Kluyveromyces lactis: one gene and its partners. The protein of the gene in region 4 interacts with the protein of the main gene of each other region in a pairwise test. Links are inferred from orthologs where the notes say so. Each region holds a gene or a part of one and is shown on either strand. Other genes may lie near its edges.

Region 1 (4,142 bases), on a different chromosome or scaffold from region 4:
TCAGGACCACCAGAGTAGGAAGTGTGGTATCGGATAACCCCAGTGACCACAAGCTCTATCATGGCGGATGCAGACAAGATTATTAAACAGTCTGAGGCGCTTGATCAACTAGCCAAACTAGTGTTATCTCAGTCCCAAAAAAAGCAGTCGACTCTCCCGTCTTTAAAAGAGGAATACGAGAACAAACTGAAGAACGTTGATGAGCTCATCTCGATGATTACATCCGTTGAACTGGATAAAGAGAAGTTCTCAAAAATGATTTCGAAACAAATTGAGATTATTCAGAAAGACGGTCAAGAATATGCTCTAATTCCAGTACAAAGAACTCCTAAACAAGCCAAATTTGGAAAACGAAAGTCTAAAGCTAACAACATTAAATGTTCTTATTGCAATGAAACTGGACACCTCCGATCAAAATGTGAGAAGAAACTCTTGGGAGTTCCACCATGATAGGTAATGTGTTCTATTATTACATATGTGAATAGTGTGAGAGTGGTAGACTCGAATGATATTTAACAGTTATAAATTATTCCTTTCTGCAGCAGGAACCCTGTTTTTCGCTGCTTCTTTCGTTTACTTTCTTTCACTCATTAATTCTCTTCTGGTTGCATCTTGAAGTAGGTTGGTATCCACCATAGATTTCTTCAAATGTACATACCTCACAGTAGAACCTCTGATGAACATGTTCCTCACGCTTGATAGATGTGGATATTTTTCATTATTGTTGGACGAAATGTTGTCTAATTTTAAGTTCAAAAATTGGTCGACTGATTTTAGAGTACCTGTTAGTTCAATACCGTTCTTTAGTTCGACTTTGACTTCATGATCAACCAGGGTCTTGAAAAATGAAAATAATAGCATGGTTCTGGACAGTACGGCCTTGGTTCAGAGGTCCATGCATTTGACTTTTGAATGTGTTGTAGTTGTATTGTCAAATTTCAACATGAAATTGTTTTAAACAATTTCATGTTGAAGGAAAAAAAAAAGATACATGTACAAAATTGACATACACAACTTCATATGTAGAAGTAGAGAAGCTGCTGGACTTAAGAGGACTAGCTGGGATATTTTTACGTCGATTGCTGAAATAAAACTATTGCCAAAACATTCAAGCTAATATGTGGGGCTAGATAGTAAATAGACAAAAATAAAATGATAATGATAAAGATTGTAACGAAACAAGAAAGTAACGTAAAAGTACGTAGAAGTACGTGAAGGTACGATATTTTCAAAAGTTAGCATCACGGTTATCTCGTAGTTCTCACTTACTCCTCTGCAACATCTTCTCTCTTCTTTAAAACAAGGGGGTGACCAGTAATCCTAAAGTAGATATCCTTGACATCGTCGGTCATGGATTCGAAGTGAGATGAGGAATCGTAAGATTTAGAGATGTAAATGTTGTCTTTAGTGCCATCTTCGATCGGTTCAAAGATTTCTGAAATACCCATGAACCTCTCCTCAATTGGGCCCAACATTTTGAAAGCCGGCTCTAATTCGATATGAGGTTTATCAGTTTCAATGATGGTTGATACACTGGCGAGGTAATGACCCTTCGAAGTAACTTTATGGGCGTCAGAGACAGTAGCAATATAAATGTCGTTCTTTCTTCCAACTTGTGATTGTGGTATAATTATTTGGCAAGAATCAGCATTACTAGTGTTAGGAACAGGTTGTTTAGTGATGCAAATTGCTCTGATCACCTTTTCACCTGTAGTTTTACATTTCTCAGGGAAGTATGTTGGATCTGCGATGACTATTGGTGCTTTTGCAGTACCTTCTTTGGTGACAATACCTTCGAATTTACCATCGTCTGAGTATAAAACCTTTTCAATTGGGGTATTTAGCATGTATGTCCCACCGTAAATAGCTGATAATCTAGCAAATCCTTGAGGCAATTCGCCCAACCCATACATAGGGTAAATATATGGAGATTTACCAAACCTGGAAATCGATTGCACATATAGGATAATTCTTTCCACTGATGGTCTAGCAGGTTGTTGCAGATAATCGTCATTGGTCCAAAGGGCCATTGCGTGTCCAATAAATTCTCTGGTTGAATTTCCTAAGCCAAATTTGTAGTATACCTCATCCATAGTGTTTTGATCCAAGTTTAAGCCCTGATGTGTGGCGATATCTTCTTCATTGTATGCACTGATCCATTCCAAGAACTTCTTCATCCTTCTTTTCTCGAAGATACCCAATAAAGAAGATGAAATAGCCTCCATTTCGTTAGCAGGAACTTTATATACTTTACCTCTGTTGTAAACGTACGAGCCAGCAACTTGCTTGAACTCGATATATCTGGTGACGTCAGTATGAACCAAAATGTTAGTCAATTCACCATTCGCCATCAAGAACTTAGGAATCAAATCCACGTTCCAATCTCTATCCTTGCCAAACTTTGACTCAATGTCTTCCTTACTCAAAGGATGTTGTTTGAATTTAGAGTATAGTTGCGTTAATGTGACACTGGATGATTCACCACCATAATGGTCCTGTCTGTCAACATGTAAGACTTTTTTCCCCTCGATTGAGAGTAAGCCAGATAATATACACTCGGTAAGACCTGTCCCAAGGACGATAACATCATAATTTTCGTCCATTATTACAAGCTTTTGTCAATTCGACGTTCTATGAACTAGGTCCAACGTTTCCTATCTAGTTGAAGGTAGCCCTACGTTTGAAGTCGTTATTGTTTTCTTGCTAAATACTATGATCCTCCCTATTATTGTTATTTTTATTGTAACAATCGCACTTTCTTTATTTTCAACACTAATTCAAGGTTAAAAGACAAACGTTCTAGACGCATATAACTGCATTCAGTTCAGGCATTGATCTCGAGCGTTAACAAACTAGTTGGACAATTTCAGATGCTCATAAATTGCTGAAGATCCAGGAATGTTCAGCACCTCGAAAGGTAGTATGTCAGTTCAACCAATATCGTAAAATAGTGACTGAAGTTTTCTTCACGTGACCCAGATCTGTGAACGGAGGTTTCAATATTAATTATAACAAAGACGATCCTGGGTTGGCAGAGAAAAACTCGGATCCCTTCACTGCAAAGTTTATACACAAAACCATATTCCCTCATTTGTCCCAAACTTCGTTTCACGATGGACAGGCCATGGATACTATTCATAGCTGAACCTGAATACAGTTTACAGGAATATAAGCTTTTGCAAAAAGAGTTCAACACGGTTAATTACACACTTGAACGAGATGTTGATGGCACTGGTAAGGAAGCATTTCTAACTTTCTTGGACCAGCATTCGAAGCAAAAGGGTCCAATTGTCGGAATATTTGGAGGGTATCCACAATTCGCTCCCTTAGGTGGTTTGAGTGCAGAAATCTTGGATGATCATCGTTGGCCTGGGTCGATCAAGTGCATATGTCTGTGTTCTGTAGGTTACAATTGGCTCGACCTGAAGTCACTACGGGAAAAGGGCATTCAACTGTACAATTATGACGACATGATACAGGACTCTGGAATTGTAGCCAACGACGTTGCAGATTGCGTCCTCTGGCACGTTCTAGATGGGTTTCGGAAATTCTCAAGTCAGGCACATGCATTGAGATCAGCAAGAAACACTATCAAGGCTCGTTCAGAAATCGTACTGGAACACGGTGAAAACAATTCACCAAGGTTCGAATTTGGGCACAGATGGAAACGAGGAACCTTTAATGAAAGTTGTCGGAACAAGAGATGTCTCATTATGGGACTTGGACGTATTGGAATCCAGTGTGGTAGGAAATTGGATTCCGGATTAGGAATGGAAATACATTACACGCAGAGAAATCCGGTTACAAAAGAACAAATAAGCTCGGACACTTATATCCAGAAGTGGCAATTCCATCCAATCTCTGAGCTACTTGAGTCTGATTTTCAGGATGCGCATGGAAGCAGTCCATGCCTTGAAACGTTTGATTGCATTGTAATATGTCTACCAGGAAATGCATCAACACATCACATGATCAACAAAACTTTTCTGTCAAGATGCAAGTTCGGCGTTGTTATCTGTAACGTCGGAAGAGGCTCAATAATCGACGATGATGCATTACAGCATATTATGGCACAAGAACCCGGCAGAGTTAGACATGTAGCAATGGACGTGTTTCACGATGAGCCAATTGTAGAACAATGG
Region 2 (5,020 bases), on a different chromosome or scaffold from region 4:
ACACTTTCTCAGAAAAATCCGTACCGTTTTGGAACCATTTACTATGGCAAAATCGTTTTTCAAAGGGGTGGACCCATGATTTTTGAAAATAAACTTGGTTTTTCTCAAATTGTCGCAGGGCACGCCGCAGCGTGCCCTGTTTTCTGCTGTTGCCTTTCCAGTATCTATCTCATCGCACTTACAAGGAAGAAAAAAAATTTTCTTCCACCGCACATTGCATGCACTTTGAATACACGTAGATGCCATAATTCCATAGTACATACGTCTTACATATCATATATCTCATAAATATATATATATATATATTGGAACTTTTCGAATTAGAGTTTTTCATCAGCTTTTCAGTATTTTTTTTTCGTCAATTTGATTCAACGTTCCTTGTAAGAAGAAGAAGAGGAATTGATTCTTTCCTAGTTTCTTCTCTCACCAGGTTTAACTATCCATTAACGATGTCTTTCTCTGATTTCTCCAAGGTCGAAACCTTGCAAAAGTTGAACACTTTCTTGGCTGACAAGTCTTACATTGAAGGGTATGTGAAATAATTATAGTGGTGGTTTTCCAATGGCATCAAGCAGTTTTTTGAATAAGAGAATTCTTCAAAGTTTACTATTTCAATGATGAACAAATTCTTTGGTCCGTGTTTATGACGGGAAGTAAGACCCCCGGTATGAGTGACAAAGAGACAGTACCTAGACAGTACGATTCTGATTTATCTTTTTTATTGAATTCTCTTTTCAGCAAGCAAGCTTAGCTGCCATACAAAAAAATTTCATTTTTTTGTTCTTTCCATTTTACTAACTAACAATTGCATCAATATAGTACCTCTGCTACTCAAGCTGACGTCTCTGCTTTCAAGGCTTTCCAATCTACTTACCCAGAATTCTCTAGATGGTTCAACCACATTGCTTCCAAGGCTGATCAATTCGAATCCTTGCCAGCTGCTACTTCTACACCAGCTGCTGCTGAAGAAGAAGATGACGATGACGAAGTCGATTTGTTCGGTTCTGACGATGATGTCGATGAAGAAGCTGAACAATTGAAGGCTAAGAGAATCGCTGAATACAACGAAAAGAAGGCTGCTAAGCCAAAGGCTGCTGCTAAGTCTATCGTTACCTTGGATGTTAAGCCATGGGATGACGAAACCGATTTGGAAGAATTGGTTGCCAACGTTAAGAACATCGAAATGGATGGTTTGAACTGGGGTGCTCACCAATGGATTCCAATTGGTTTCGGTATCAAGAAGTTGCAAATTAACATGGTCATCGAAGATGCTAAGGTTTCTCTTGATGAATTGCAACAACTTATCGAAGAAGATGAAGACCACGTCCAATCTACTGATGTTGCTGCTATGCAAAAGTTGTAATTAAACTAATTTAAGTTCTTCACCTTTTTCCCCTTACATAAATGAATAAATAAATATACTATATTTCTCAACGACCCCCTTCGTGCTTTCTTGCTGGACCCGAACCCTTGCTGTCTCTTTTATCCTGTTATGTTCATCTTTCTTTTAGGTTTACAGCCTCTGAGCATCTTAAGAATAGAAATGTGCATAATATAAATGCATATAGATAATTAATTAAACATCATGCTGCATTTAAGGTAAAATATGAGAAAAAAAAACAGGAAAGGCAACAGAAGCCCTACGGTCTAAGTTCGGTTAAAACAGTTTTCGATTACCTGTTTGTCAATTGCCAGCAAGATTCAAGTTTCAAATGAATGGCTCTCATAGTACTGGCCACGATAAGAGAAACAACACAACCGATTTCGAAAAGTTTAATCCCTTTAAGAGCTCTCAGGATGAATCCCTGCATGTAAGCTGGACTTCATTGCAACAAGTGTATCCGAATTTATCATATTATGGGGGACCTACTTTCATTCTTCCGGTTCAGCTCTACTATATCATAGGTACGGCAAAGGGAGCCGTTGTTATCTTTAACAAGAAACAATTCGTTCAATCTGTACTAGCACCATCTTTACCAGATTTTAGATCCAAGGTAACATTTATCGATATAAATCAGGATGGTACCCATGTTTGCGCAGCCTATGAATCCGGTGATATATTCCTGTGGGACTTAAACTCTCAAGTCGATGAAAATTCCGATTCTAATCATCTAGAAGCCGTGCTGCATATTGCTTCTCATAGAGGACATTCCTTTAATGGTCTTAATTTTATCCCGGGGAAACATACCAATATTGCAGTCAGTGATTCTACAGGACATATTGTACTTCACAAGGGTACTAGAAATCATCTTTGGCAATTGGTACCTAGTGCAAAAGAAATCTTGAGGCTGAATCCAATGATAAACCCTTTATTGACTACGCGCATTCGAAGCAACGGTGAAGATTATGATGCTGAACATCTGTTAGCAGTTTTATCTAATCGATCCTTCGCAGTCATATCATTGTCATCGCCAACTTTATCAACTTATCGGCTCATTGAATTGTCACACAAAAACTCGGCCACTTTTGGATATATCTCCTGGAATGACGTCAATCCAAATCAGGTTGCCTTCTCTGTAGATAACCAGTTGAGCCTTGTCGATATCAGGTTTCCGACTTTACAATGGACGTACGAAGCTCCTGAATGCATTTGTAAAGTTGCCTGGCTCACAAATAACATTTTGACTATTTTGCTCTTGTCAAGTAAGCTTCTCGTTTTAAACATAGGTAGTGTTGATACCGATGAGGATCCTGTACTCACTAGTATTGACTTACTTATTCATGAACTGATGGTTCCAGAATCTGAGAACCATTTCGCTACGTTAAATAACACGATTGTTGTGCTCACCAATTACAGTTTAATGGTGGGGAAAATTAACTCATGGTCCGATATTGTCTTACACCATATACATAAAGGAGATTACATTAATGCATTAGGAACCCTAGGTTACTATTTACAAGGTCCATCATTCGATTCGATAACCGCCTTATTACATCTGGAAAAAGACTATCAGAAAAGAATCAGACAAATTGAACCATCGTTTAACAACTTGACACTAGCAACTGTTCAATTTTTACTGAAGAAAGATGATATAAGTTACAGTAAGGTCACTGAAGCTACATCATTGATTTTGGACTTGGGAAGTATTTTCTCAGATGAAAAGATGTATGTGCTTTTAGAACAGGTAGGGGAAGCTTTGATGACCAAACATAACGAAGAATTTCAAGAAATACTTTACGAAAAAATCGTTAACGGGACAGTAACATACCTCTCACCAATACTTTTCAAGGCTGTGATGGAATACACAGTGTCTTCAGGAAATGATAGAAGGTTAGAGACAATTTTATTATCGCTAGACGGTACAACTTTGGATTTGGATTATGCTTTCAAGGTTTGCAAAGAGTTTCGTCTCTACTCTGCACTTTTATATCTCTGGACAACCATTTTGGATGATTATAAAAGTCCCCTAGTGGATATAATATTTTACTTTGCTGGCAAAGAAGAATGTTGTGTAGTTTTTGATGCTAACATTGAAGATAATACCCTTTTCGAGTACATCGAATCAACTTTATTGGGAAAAGTTTATCCAACAGAAAAAAGAGTGCCTTCCAAAAAGATTCTATACCTAAAGAACTTTTATTACAGCTTACTTTTTAGTGGCTCTTCTTTGGAATGGCCACAAGGCTCTGGAAAAAAGCTTTTAACGTGTCCCCTACCAGCAGAAGAACCAGCCTTTCCATATGCTTCCCTTTTAATATCATCAAGTGCGCAAAATTTCTTGCACGTTCTTGATGTCTCATTTGAAGATGTTCTGTTCAATGAATCCCCTCAAAATGGATTTCATTTTACTAGACAACATATAATTGATGTTCTTTTGGACATACAGAAGAATTTCAAAGAAAATCATGTGAAACTTCTTATTGCCCTCTTTGTGTTCAACAATTTGCCAAAGTATTCTCAGTTTATTCGCCTAACCAACACTATCATTGACTCACAAATAGACGTCATATTATCTGCTGATTTGGAAGGATTTGAACAAATTTCTGAAGATTGTCTTGAAGCACTATTGTCTGTTTATTCACCAGATAATATTAACGCCCTAATTGATAAAATGTCAGGAGTGGATTTTTATCGTGTTCGGCTTCTGCTATATAAAAAGGCCGGAAGATATACAGATTATCTTACCTTTATTCTTAGCGATCAACACAGGAATACGAATGGCAATGATATTATTGCAGGTTTGAAACTATGTGATGGTGCTACAGCGAAATCGCCTATCGGTCGAAGTGAAATTTGCGACCTTCTATCAGATACATTTCCGAAGATTATCGAAAATTGTCAAGATCAGCGTTCCCTTGTCTCAATCATAGACTCTTTTGATAGTAGCTTACATGAAAAAATTCTTCTTATTTCTGATCCGTTGACGCTCTTAGGATATCTTCGTATACTTCTGTCTGGGAACTATCATCTATCTGCCCCATTTTTGAAGAAAGCAAGGCCGAAGTATCTATCATTGTTGTATGAAACCGGAGATGCGTCCGGTGTATCACAATGGGTTGACAATATTGACCTTAAAAACATCGAAGTTGAGAGTATTGTAGATATTATTAACGGAAATAGGGATTCGAGAACTTTGATACGATTGCTAGTACGGCTAAAGAACTATGGGTCGGCAATAGATAAAATAAACTCGAAAATCAACGAGTTATTACAAAATAATGATTTTGACGAAATTGATAATTATTTGGATTTAGGCATCAGTGTATCCCAGAAGACAGATGAAACTAACAAGAACTGGGTTAAATTGATATCAAACTTGGTCTCTCAATACCCAACTCTTACCGATGATCAAAAAGCGTTTTGTGATAAAAGTTTGCAGAAAGTATTTATTGAGCTTTCAGATGGGAACCTGAATGATATCGAAAACTCGGAGGAGAGCTTTTTCTGGAAGACCCTAATGGAGATATTTGAAAACAAATCTCTTATCTTGAGTAAAATCAAAGATATTAAAGTGGTGTTGAAGAATATTTTCACAGCTTATTCTGTCGAAGAGACAGTGAAACTTCTTATTTTACAGAT
Region 3 (4,315 bases), on a different chromosome or scaffold from region 4:
TTTATCTTCTATGAGCCTTTCGACTCTATTCCATTCCTTTTGGTAGGCTTGGTATACTCTATCAATATCGTAATATCTTCGTAATTTAGTCAAGGTAGTCAATAAAACGAGCAACTGTGATGGTGTGAAAAATGCATATTCGTCTTTTTTCATTCGAATCACTTCTGTAACACACTTCAACTCACCGATTCGAAATCGCACTTCCCACAGCCTTTCCCATTCTTCTGTGCTGATTGTCTTGGTTGACTGTTCCCTCTTTTCTAGTGATGAGTTCGCTGTATGTGTTTTTCTTGTTGTTATTGTTGTTCTTTGTACAGGAGGATGCTCTAACAAAGATTGCTGAATCCATCCAGCAACCTCTCTATTCCGTAGCTCCTTATTATTATTAGATTCATCGTTTCCATTGATCTCTCGTATCGTTGTCGAATAATATCTAGCTCTTCCAATGTGTCTTAGGCAAACGTTCAGCCCACGTCGTATTACAGTCACGTTGCTGGGAAGCCTGGCATTCATCGCTGAAACTTTCAATAGCGACATAATTCCCACCTGCACCTACTCTTCCCTGCCCTTGATTCAGCTATGCGACAACAATGTCAATAAGCTTGATGGATTTGTTTAAGAAACTATCTTCAAACAATTTATTGTAGTAACCCACCAGCTAAAGAGCGGGAAAAAAAAACGGGTAGCAGAAAGGATCAGATATAGTTCGGTCCTGAATTGGGCTTAACTAAGGCTTGGTTCACTCACCAATTGTAATGGATATCCTTAAACAAGTTGTACTATGACCGCTCATCTCTTCTCTCACACCATGTCCTTCAAATTTTTTGATACTTGAAGCTATCATATTGAACGGTAAAGCTATAACATAAGCAGATCAGACACAAATATAAAGGTTTGTGATCATACTATCAGGGGCTGCCACTGCACAATTGCGGCGAATGTTCACCACGTCAGTGCTTCATTGAATTCTTATAACTTACTTTTGAACTGAGTAAAATCGATTTTCATTATCTAGTGAAATCGGAGATATCATGATTTGTATAAGATACATAACACAATATACATTGGATTGGTAAGGTGAATTACCTATCGTATTGAGACGAGAACTGGCGATCATCTGATACTTGGTAATAAATACCTGATAGAAGACAGACGGTTAAGTTTGGGAGGAGTTTCACCAAAGTTTTCATGTAGTCATCGAAGAAATGGGAAATCACCTGCGTTAGATGGGTATATGCAGATTCGTCAAAATGGCAGTTATAGTCCTGGAAATGATAGACGTTTTCGTATCCGTGAAAATCCCACATTTGTTGCGTCGGAGAATACTGCAATGCTTTTAAATCCCAATCTGTTTCGGTCAGGAACCTACGACAAAGTGAATCACCAGCGTATGCAAAGAAAACAGTCGGTATTATGTCCTTGTATTGGCCTTCCTCGTAAGAGTAGTATTGATGGTTCTGAATGAATTGGTCGAAAATATCTAGCACTTTAGTGCATTTCTCACATTCGCAACCATTCCATAAGAGATCACATACAAGAATCTCATAGGAACTCAACGATTGCAAGATAGTGGGAGCAAATAATTTCTTCAACGATTTCAAATGAGGAAGCACCTCTTCATACAAAGTTCTTCTTCTGATATAGTTCCCCTCAACACTATCCTTCTGTATTCCATTAATTGGGCAATTGTGTCTGACACTTAAAGTCTGTAGATTCTGGCTTACATTAGGTAAATGTAATATGAATCTGTTTATGGAAAGATCCCAATTTTCCTCAGTGTAATGGTCACCTTGAGTAACGAAAGTTTTCTCGATCAAGGCAAGGTTCCTCAAAGATACTAATTCGCTAGAGATTTCGGACAAAAAATCATCGATGCAAGTACATTCCGACATCTCACATGCTAACTCCATTTCTAATGACTGTAACTGTTTCAACGGGATCACTTCTTTCAAGAAATCAGCAGTCAATTCACGATACGTCTTGTTATAATCGTGTATGCCATGGACATGGTTGAACTTCACACTCTTTAATTTTGTGAATACCACTCCTTGTTCCTTGAAATAGTAAAACACTCTAAGAGAAGAAAACTCTATGTCTTCTATCACCAATTCCTCCAAGTTTGCCAAGAGTTTGAATTTCACTGCATCAGACAATATGACATTATCAAACGATGGTAATGTCACAAAAATCTCTAGCGATTTGAGCTGCTCAAGATCTGATATATCGTTCAAAGAACCAATTTCTTGGATTCTCATCACCTTAGATGGTCTTATACCTTTCAACTTCTCTTTGTTAGCTTGGAAGAGAACGGAGTCTCTAATATCCAAATTTGTTACTTGATTTAACGATCTCACACTATCAATTAATCGTTGTAATAACGGCATACCGGCCTCTGTATCATTGAATACATCTTCCTGAACTACCAGAGTCCGTATCAGATACAAATGTTTGCTTTCTAAAAGTCTGCATATCCTATCGTATAAGAATAAATCATTTTGGTCGTTACTCTTGGTTATAGATCGATACCCAGCGACATACGTTTTCCCACACTCAATCCACCAGTCTTTCGAGCGCAATACTGGATTCTTATTAATTGTGATATCAGCGTATAGTCGAGGAGTCGCCAACTCATTGAAGCGGCGACTTACCAGACAGAGTGACGCTAGATCGTTCTGGTTCAAAAAGTTAGCCACATCATCAAAAACGTCTTCCAACGAAATACCTTGAGTCATTATCTAGAAGAATCCTCAATCCTAAGTTCAGAGGAACAGAATACAGTAATAAGGATCGGTTTCACACAATAGATTTCTCTCAATTCAAACAACAAGCCGGTAGCGACAATATAATTCAATTTTATGTGTGTTTCTTATAGCTCATCACCTTATTTTAAGCACCTTCCTTTCCAACCTTTTTTTTGTAAACTTTCCCAACGAAATACACTGGGAATAATAGTGTACGGACATAAAAAATAAACGACCCCGGAGAGGATTGAACTCTCGATCTTGCGATTAACAGTCGCACGCCTTAACCAGCTTGGCCACGGAGTCATGTTGTTGTTAATATGACAATTAGATGTGCACTATAACCTGATAGAGCCATCACATATGAGGCTATTCCTTATACATGGATCTACGTATCTCCGGACGTCATGTAATGGATTAAAATGCAGGATGGTAATATATATTCTTATCTAGCATATGCTAATATCTTATATTGGATATAAGATTTGATAATCGTTGAGGTGATCTATATTTCAAAAATTAAGGGATGACAGTTAAGCAATTCTAGTTTGGCGTCTATCTCTGAAAGATCTTCACCGAATGATTGCAGTAGTTTTCTCTGGAGAGAAAGCTTATTGAATATTTCAGGGTTTGATCCCCATTTGAAGAAACCATCTCGGTCTTCTGCTTTAAGGCCAGAAACAACATCAGATAGGTTCTGCTTTACCTTTTTCAGTTGGATGGAAATTGGTAGATGGCCTAATCCCTTTAACATGGCAATCGTTTGAGTTCCGAGCTGCAACTCATTTCGATATTGGTTGTCCTTCTCTACATCAAATAGCTCGTTCTCTGCACTGGAGTTCACATTGCTGATCATAAAACCTTCGTATAATTGCTCCAAGAGCTGTATCAAGGTGAGGCTGATGTCATCTGAACGAAATATTTGTGGGAGCATCTCTGCACACCTCAAACTTGTAGAGTAAGGAGAAGAGTTTAAATTTTTTTCTACCACTTGCAAAACATGTTCATTGATAAACCTAGCCGTCATTAATCTGACATCTGAGGAATCGTCAAAGAGCTGTTGATAGATCCTGAAGAGGATTTTGTCATCTGGTGCCGAACGGTAAGAATGCATCAAACATTGGGTTGCAGAGAGCCTCAAATGGTCGGGACTCTCATCTGAAATGTTGCTATCGATCAATTCCCAGAAAACGGATTCCGGTACGTTTTCGAAAACGCTGATGTTCTCTAACAAACTACTTTGTAACATCTCACTTTTATCGGAAGCTAAATCTAAGTACTTGAACGTTTTCACCTTGATGTTAGCCATACGCAATACTGTTAGAGTATCAGCTTTCACTGCACACCATTGATTCGGATCCTTTAAAATATCTATTAAAATGGAACCTAGAGCTGCGTATTCGACAGTTAATATTTTTGACTGTTTCAAACAATGTAATGCAGAAAGTTGTACTTCAAAATATTCAGAACGTAAGGCTAATTCCGCAATGTCCGTAATATACTCTTGGTTCTCAAAATTTAGGAGTATTCTTGTCACAACCGCCAAGAACAACTGCTTGCTACCATCGATGACG
Region 4 (3,292 bases):
TATTCCACAAGAGAAGTTTGGTGCCTTGATTGGTCCAGCTGGATCAGTAAGACGTGAATTGGAGACAGAATTCAAAGTAAGAATTCATGTTCCAAACAAGAACAGCTCAGATGAAAAGGTCACTGTTTCTGGTTCTCCTGCTAATATTGAATCTTGCAAGAAGAAAATCGAAAAAGAAATCATCAGGGATAGTTTCGACTTGGAAATTGCTGTCCCTGCCAAATACCATTCATACGTTTCTAACTCTGGTTTGATTTTCCAAACGTTAAGAAACGAATTTTCTATTGATGTTTCTCATGGTAACTTGACTAGAACCGCACAAAGTTTATCTCGTGCGAACTACAAGGTTCCTGAAAATGTCGCTGGTGGTGAAAATGAAAGCTCCAACGTCCTCATTCAATCTGTCACAGAAACTGAAGCTAAGGTTGACACAATCCCATGGAGATTAACATACTCACCAATTGACTTGAGTGATGTTTTAGGTGAAGACTATAAGAAAGATGAAGAAAGCAAAGATCAAGTCTTAGAAAAAGCGTCCAAATTGATAGAAGACAGAATCGCCGAGGCTAAACTTGTTAACACCGAAGGTTTCGTTTGGTCCAAGGATGCAAAGAAGTTTAACTCTATTGTTGGACCAAACGGTAGAAATATCAGAGAAATCAGAAATGCCACTAAAACTGTTATCCATGTTCCAAGAAAAAGCGATAAGGTTAACAATGTTATATATGTCCTAGGCTCTGAAGAAGGTGTGAAAAAGGCAGCTGAATTGATCTGCAAGAGATTAAAATAGTTTTAATGTTTTCACTTTGTCCGTTCCTTTGATCCAATTCTTGTATTTATTTCCTCTATTGGTGTTCAACGCTGCACAGATTAGCACTACATAAGCTTACATTAATACCACATAATTAATCATGTATACTGAATACACTTAAAACCTATATCAAAAAATGTAAACAAAACTATTTCTTCAAAATCCTCGGTTGTTCCTCAATGTTAAAGATTTATACGGGCTAGCGTGTGTTTCATGGTTATACGTAAACGTATATATATATTTATTGTGGCCTGAAGATCTATATGCAGGCATACGAATAAAGCCGTCTTCATGAGCAACAAGACTGTGAATCATTTGTACTTGGTCTTTGCAATGATATATTATTATTATTAGGTTTCTTCGATTCCTGTATCTTATCTTTGTTCTGCAAATATAATCTTTCACCAATATCTTGGAAGACTTTGATTACGTTTTCTCCAGTCTTAGCACTGACCTGGTGGAACAACAAATTATTCTCTTGTGCAAACTCGCGTGCGTCCGCTTCATCGACTAAAGAGGTCGATTCCCTTTCAGATACTAGATCCAACTTATTCCCCACAAGACAGATGATCAACTTATCGTCATTTACCTTTTCTTTCAATTCATCAACCCAAAGCTTGGCCTTAGGCAAAGAATCTGGTTCAGTGACATCGTACACAACTAAAGCGGCATTTGCATTACGATAGTACATAGGTGCCAAAGATTTATAGCGTTCCTGACCGGCCGTATCCCAAATTTCAAACTTCAAAACTTGTTCATCATACTCTTCAGATAATTTAATAGTTTGTGAAAGAAAAGCTGCACCTATAGTCGATTCCCTGTACTCATCAAACGAGTCTTTGACGAATCTATGAACAATACTGGATTTTCCAACAGAAGAATCTCCCAACAATACTAATTTGAACTGAAGCATAATTTATGGGAAGTAAATTGCGATATTTTAGAAAGAATCAGCAGTATAGGAAACCTGGGGTTGATATTGGTGAATGCTCGAAACAAAATGTCCAATACGACTTCTACCCGCGGTTACTCGTTCCAGTTTCTCTACTTTTTTATCTTTTTATCTGGAAGGGATGAAACCTGTTGATTCTGAATTTAAAGGTTTCAATGACTGAAAGCCTTTAAGTTGGATAATACGAATTGTCGATCACGTGATTGGTAATTTGAGGGGAGTTCGTGACGTTTAAAACAATGACAAGAGGCTGATTTGGTTGATAAATATAGTTGGGGTGTGTATTGATTAAATAGAATAGAATAAATAGTAGCTAACATTAATCGAATAGAAGTGAAATGAAGTGAAGTGAAGTGAAGTGAAGTGAAGTGAAGTGAAATGAAGTGAAAGAAGTATCGTGCGCATGCTTATTATCTCATTCAGTAGACATCTTAACAAAGCCCAGCTCGTTAAGCCTTTGGATAGCGGCCCCGATCTTCTCTGCTTCCAAGAGTTGTTCTTCCTCGGGCCAATTATCAGCCTCGGAATCCTGCTCAGCGATAGAAGTCATTGAAGAGTTGGAATTAACAGTTGATGCTGCAGTGGTGGTGTTTGCCGATGGCGTGGGTAGTCCGGAGTAGGTGATGTAATCATGCGATATGGAAGAACACACTGAAGATTCACGAGAAACTGGAGGCAAAGGCTCCAATCTGTGAGTTTCCCTGTTGTGTCTAAGATGTAAAAGATTTAATATCGAAGTAGTAGTGTTCGAGATATTATTGATTGGTGATTCGATCAACTTAATGAAAGAGGAGTTGACGAAGGGGCAATGGAATGAGTTATGTGGCGAGACAAAACAGGTTCTGATATCTTGCCTTAGTTGAGGAGAAGAGTACCCTATCAAAAGCTCCAAGATGTTGAGGATCTGAGGTAATCTATGTTCTTGTAGGGGGCAATACAATTCCTCTGAAGCTTGTAGCAACCAGTCGTTGAACTTGTCCTCGAAAATGCATAAGAATCTATTGACAGTGGTTCTTTCGACGGACAGGTTATGAGTATGTAGCAATAGGTAAAGGGATCCAAATTGGATCAAACAATCTTGAAATCCAGCCACGGAGTTGTATGGTTTTCCACTAAGTTCGGTGAAGAGAGACCAATATACTCGAGAATTGGCAGAGAGATACCCGTAGTTGAAACACAAAGCGTACCAGTATTTACCCAATTCTGTAAGAATTGAAATGCGTTTTGGATCCATAGTCAAGGAAGTGACCATCGTTTGGAAACTCTGTGGAGCCAACATTCTGTTAAAAATTTGATGATGTTTCTGGTCCGAGTCATCTAGATCTGAACCCTGGCCATCATGAGCCAAAGTTGGTTTACAATGTGCCAATAAGAACATTATTCTCCATCTGGGTAAATCGAAAGGATTTTCAAAGAGGCTGGTCTCGACACATTTTATAAGAGTTGCGTTAAGATTTGCATCAGTTCGTATAGAACACGAATGTAGCAAAATATTAGCCACAATAATGGCTAACGTTTCACTTTGAGAA

Evidence for each region.
Region 1: the proteins of YPT52 (region 4) and GDI1 interact in binary tests that used the Saccharomyces cerevisiae proteins (3 or more experiments, as listed by UniProt). The link is inferred for Kluyveromyces lactis from reciprocal best matches to the Saccharomyces cerevisiae genes YPT52 and GDI1.
Region 2: the proteins of YPT52 (region 4) and VPS8 interact in a two-hybrid assay, tested with the Saccharomyces cerevisiae proteins (2 studies listed by BioGRID). The link is inferred for Kluyveromyces lactis from reciprocal best matches to the Saccharomyces cerevisiae genes YPT52 and VPS8.
Region 3: the proteins of YPT52 (region 4) and ROY1 interact in binary tests that used the Saccharomyces cerevisiae proteins (3 or more experiments, as listed by UniProt). The link is inferred for Kluyveromyces lactis from reciprocal best matches to the Saccharomyces cerevisiae genes YPT52 and ROY1.

The regions. Positions count from the first base shown.
Region 1 is NC_006042.1:852,775-856,916, reverse strand, and holds GDI1 (Gdi1p), read right to left. Parts: upstream 2,604-4,142; coding exon 1,266-2,603; downstream 1-1,265. Other genes in the region: KLLA0_F09229g (uncharacterized protein), read left to right, coding at 61-450; Sm-like protein LSM2, read right to left, coding at 574-861; KLLA0_F09163g (putative hydroxyacid dehydrogenase), read left to right, coding at 3,114-4,142. UniProt on the Saccharomyces cerevisiae protein: Regulates the GDP/GTP exchange reaction of SEC4 by inhibiting the dissociation of GDP from it, and the subsequent binding of GTP to SEC4. Plays an essential role in the yeast secretory pathway.
Region 2 is NC_006039.1:1,631,079-1,636,098, forward strand, and holds the start of VPS8 (CORVET complex membrane-binding subunit VPS8), read left to right. Parts: upstream 1-1,712; coding exon 1,713-5,020. Other genes in the region: EFB1 (translation elongation factor 1 subunit beta), read left to right, coding at 450-529, 820-1,363. UniProt on the Saccharomyces cerevisiae protein: Required for localization and recycling of the CPY sorting receptor (VPS10) to the late-Golgi compartment. Involved in the retention of proteins to the late-Golgi. Plays an integral role in the complex vacuolar protein sorting process.
Region 3 is NC_006038.1:761,184-765,498, reverse strand, and holds ROY1 (Roy1p), read right to left. Parts: upstream 2,733-4,315; coding exon 1,083-2,732; downstream 1-1,082. Other genes in the region: PET111 (Pet111p), read right to left, coding at 1-537; tRNA methylation protein TRM732, read right to left, coding at 3,247-4,315. UniProt on the Saccharomyces cerevisiae protein: Non-SCF-type F-box protein involved in the endocytic with the vacuolar sorting pathway. Acts as a repressor of YPT52 by inhibiting the formation of active, GTP-bound, YPT52. Involved in the defense mechanism against methylmercury toxicity.
Region 4 is NC_006040.1:199,944-203,235, reverse strand, and holds YPT52 (Rab family GTPase YPT52), read right to left. Parts: upstream 1,725-3,292; coding exon 1,101-1,724; downstream 1-1,100. Other genes in the region: SCP160 (Scp160p), read left to right, coding at 1-790; KLLA0_D02354g (uncharacterized protein), read right to left, coding at 2,179-3,292. UniProt on the Saccharomyces cerevisiae protein: Required for transport in the endocytic pathway and for correct sorting of the vacuolar hydrolases suggesting a possible intersection of the endocytic with the vacuolar sorting pathway.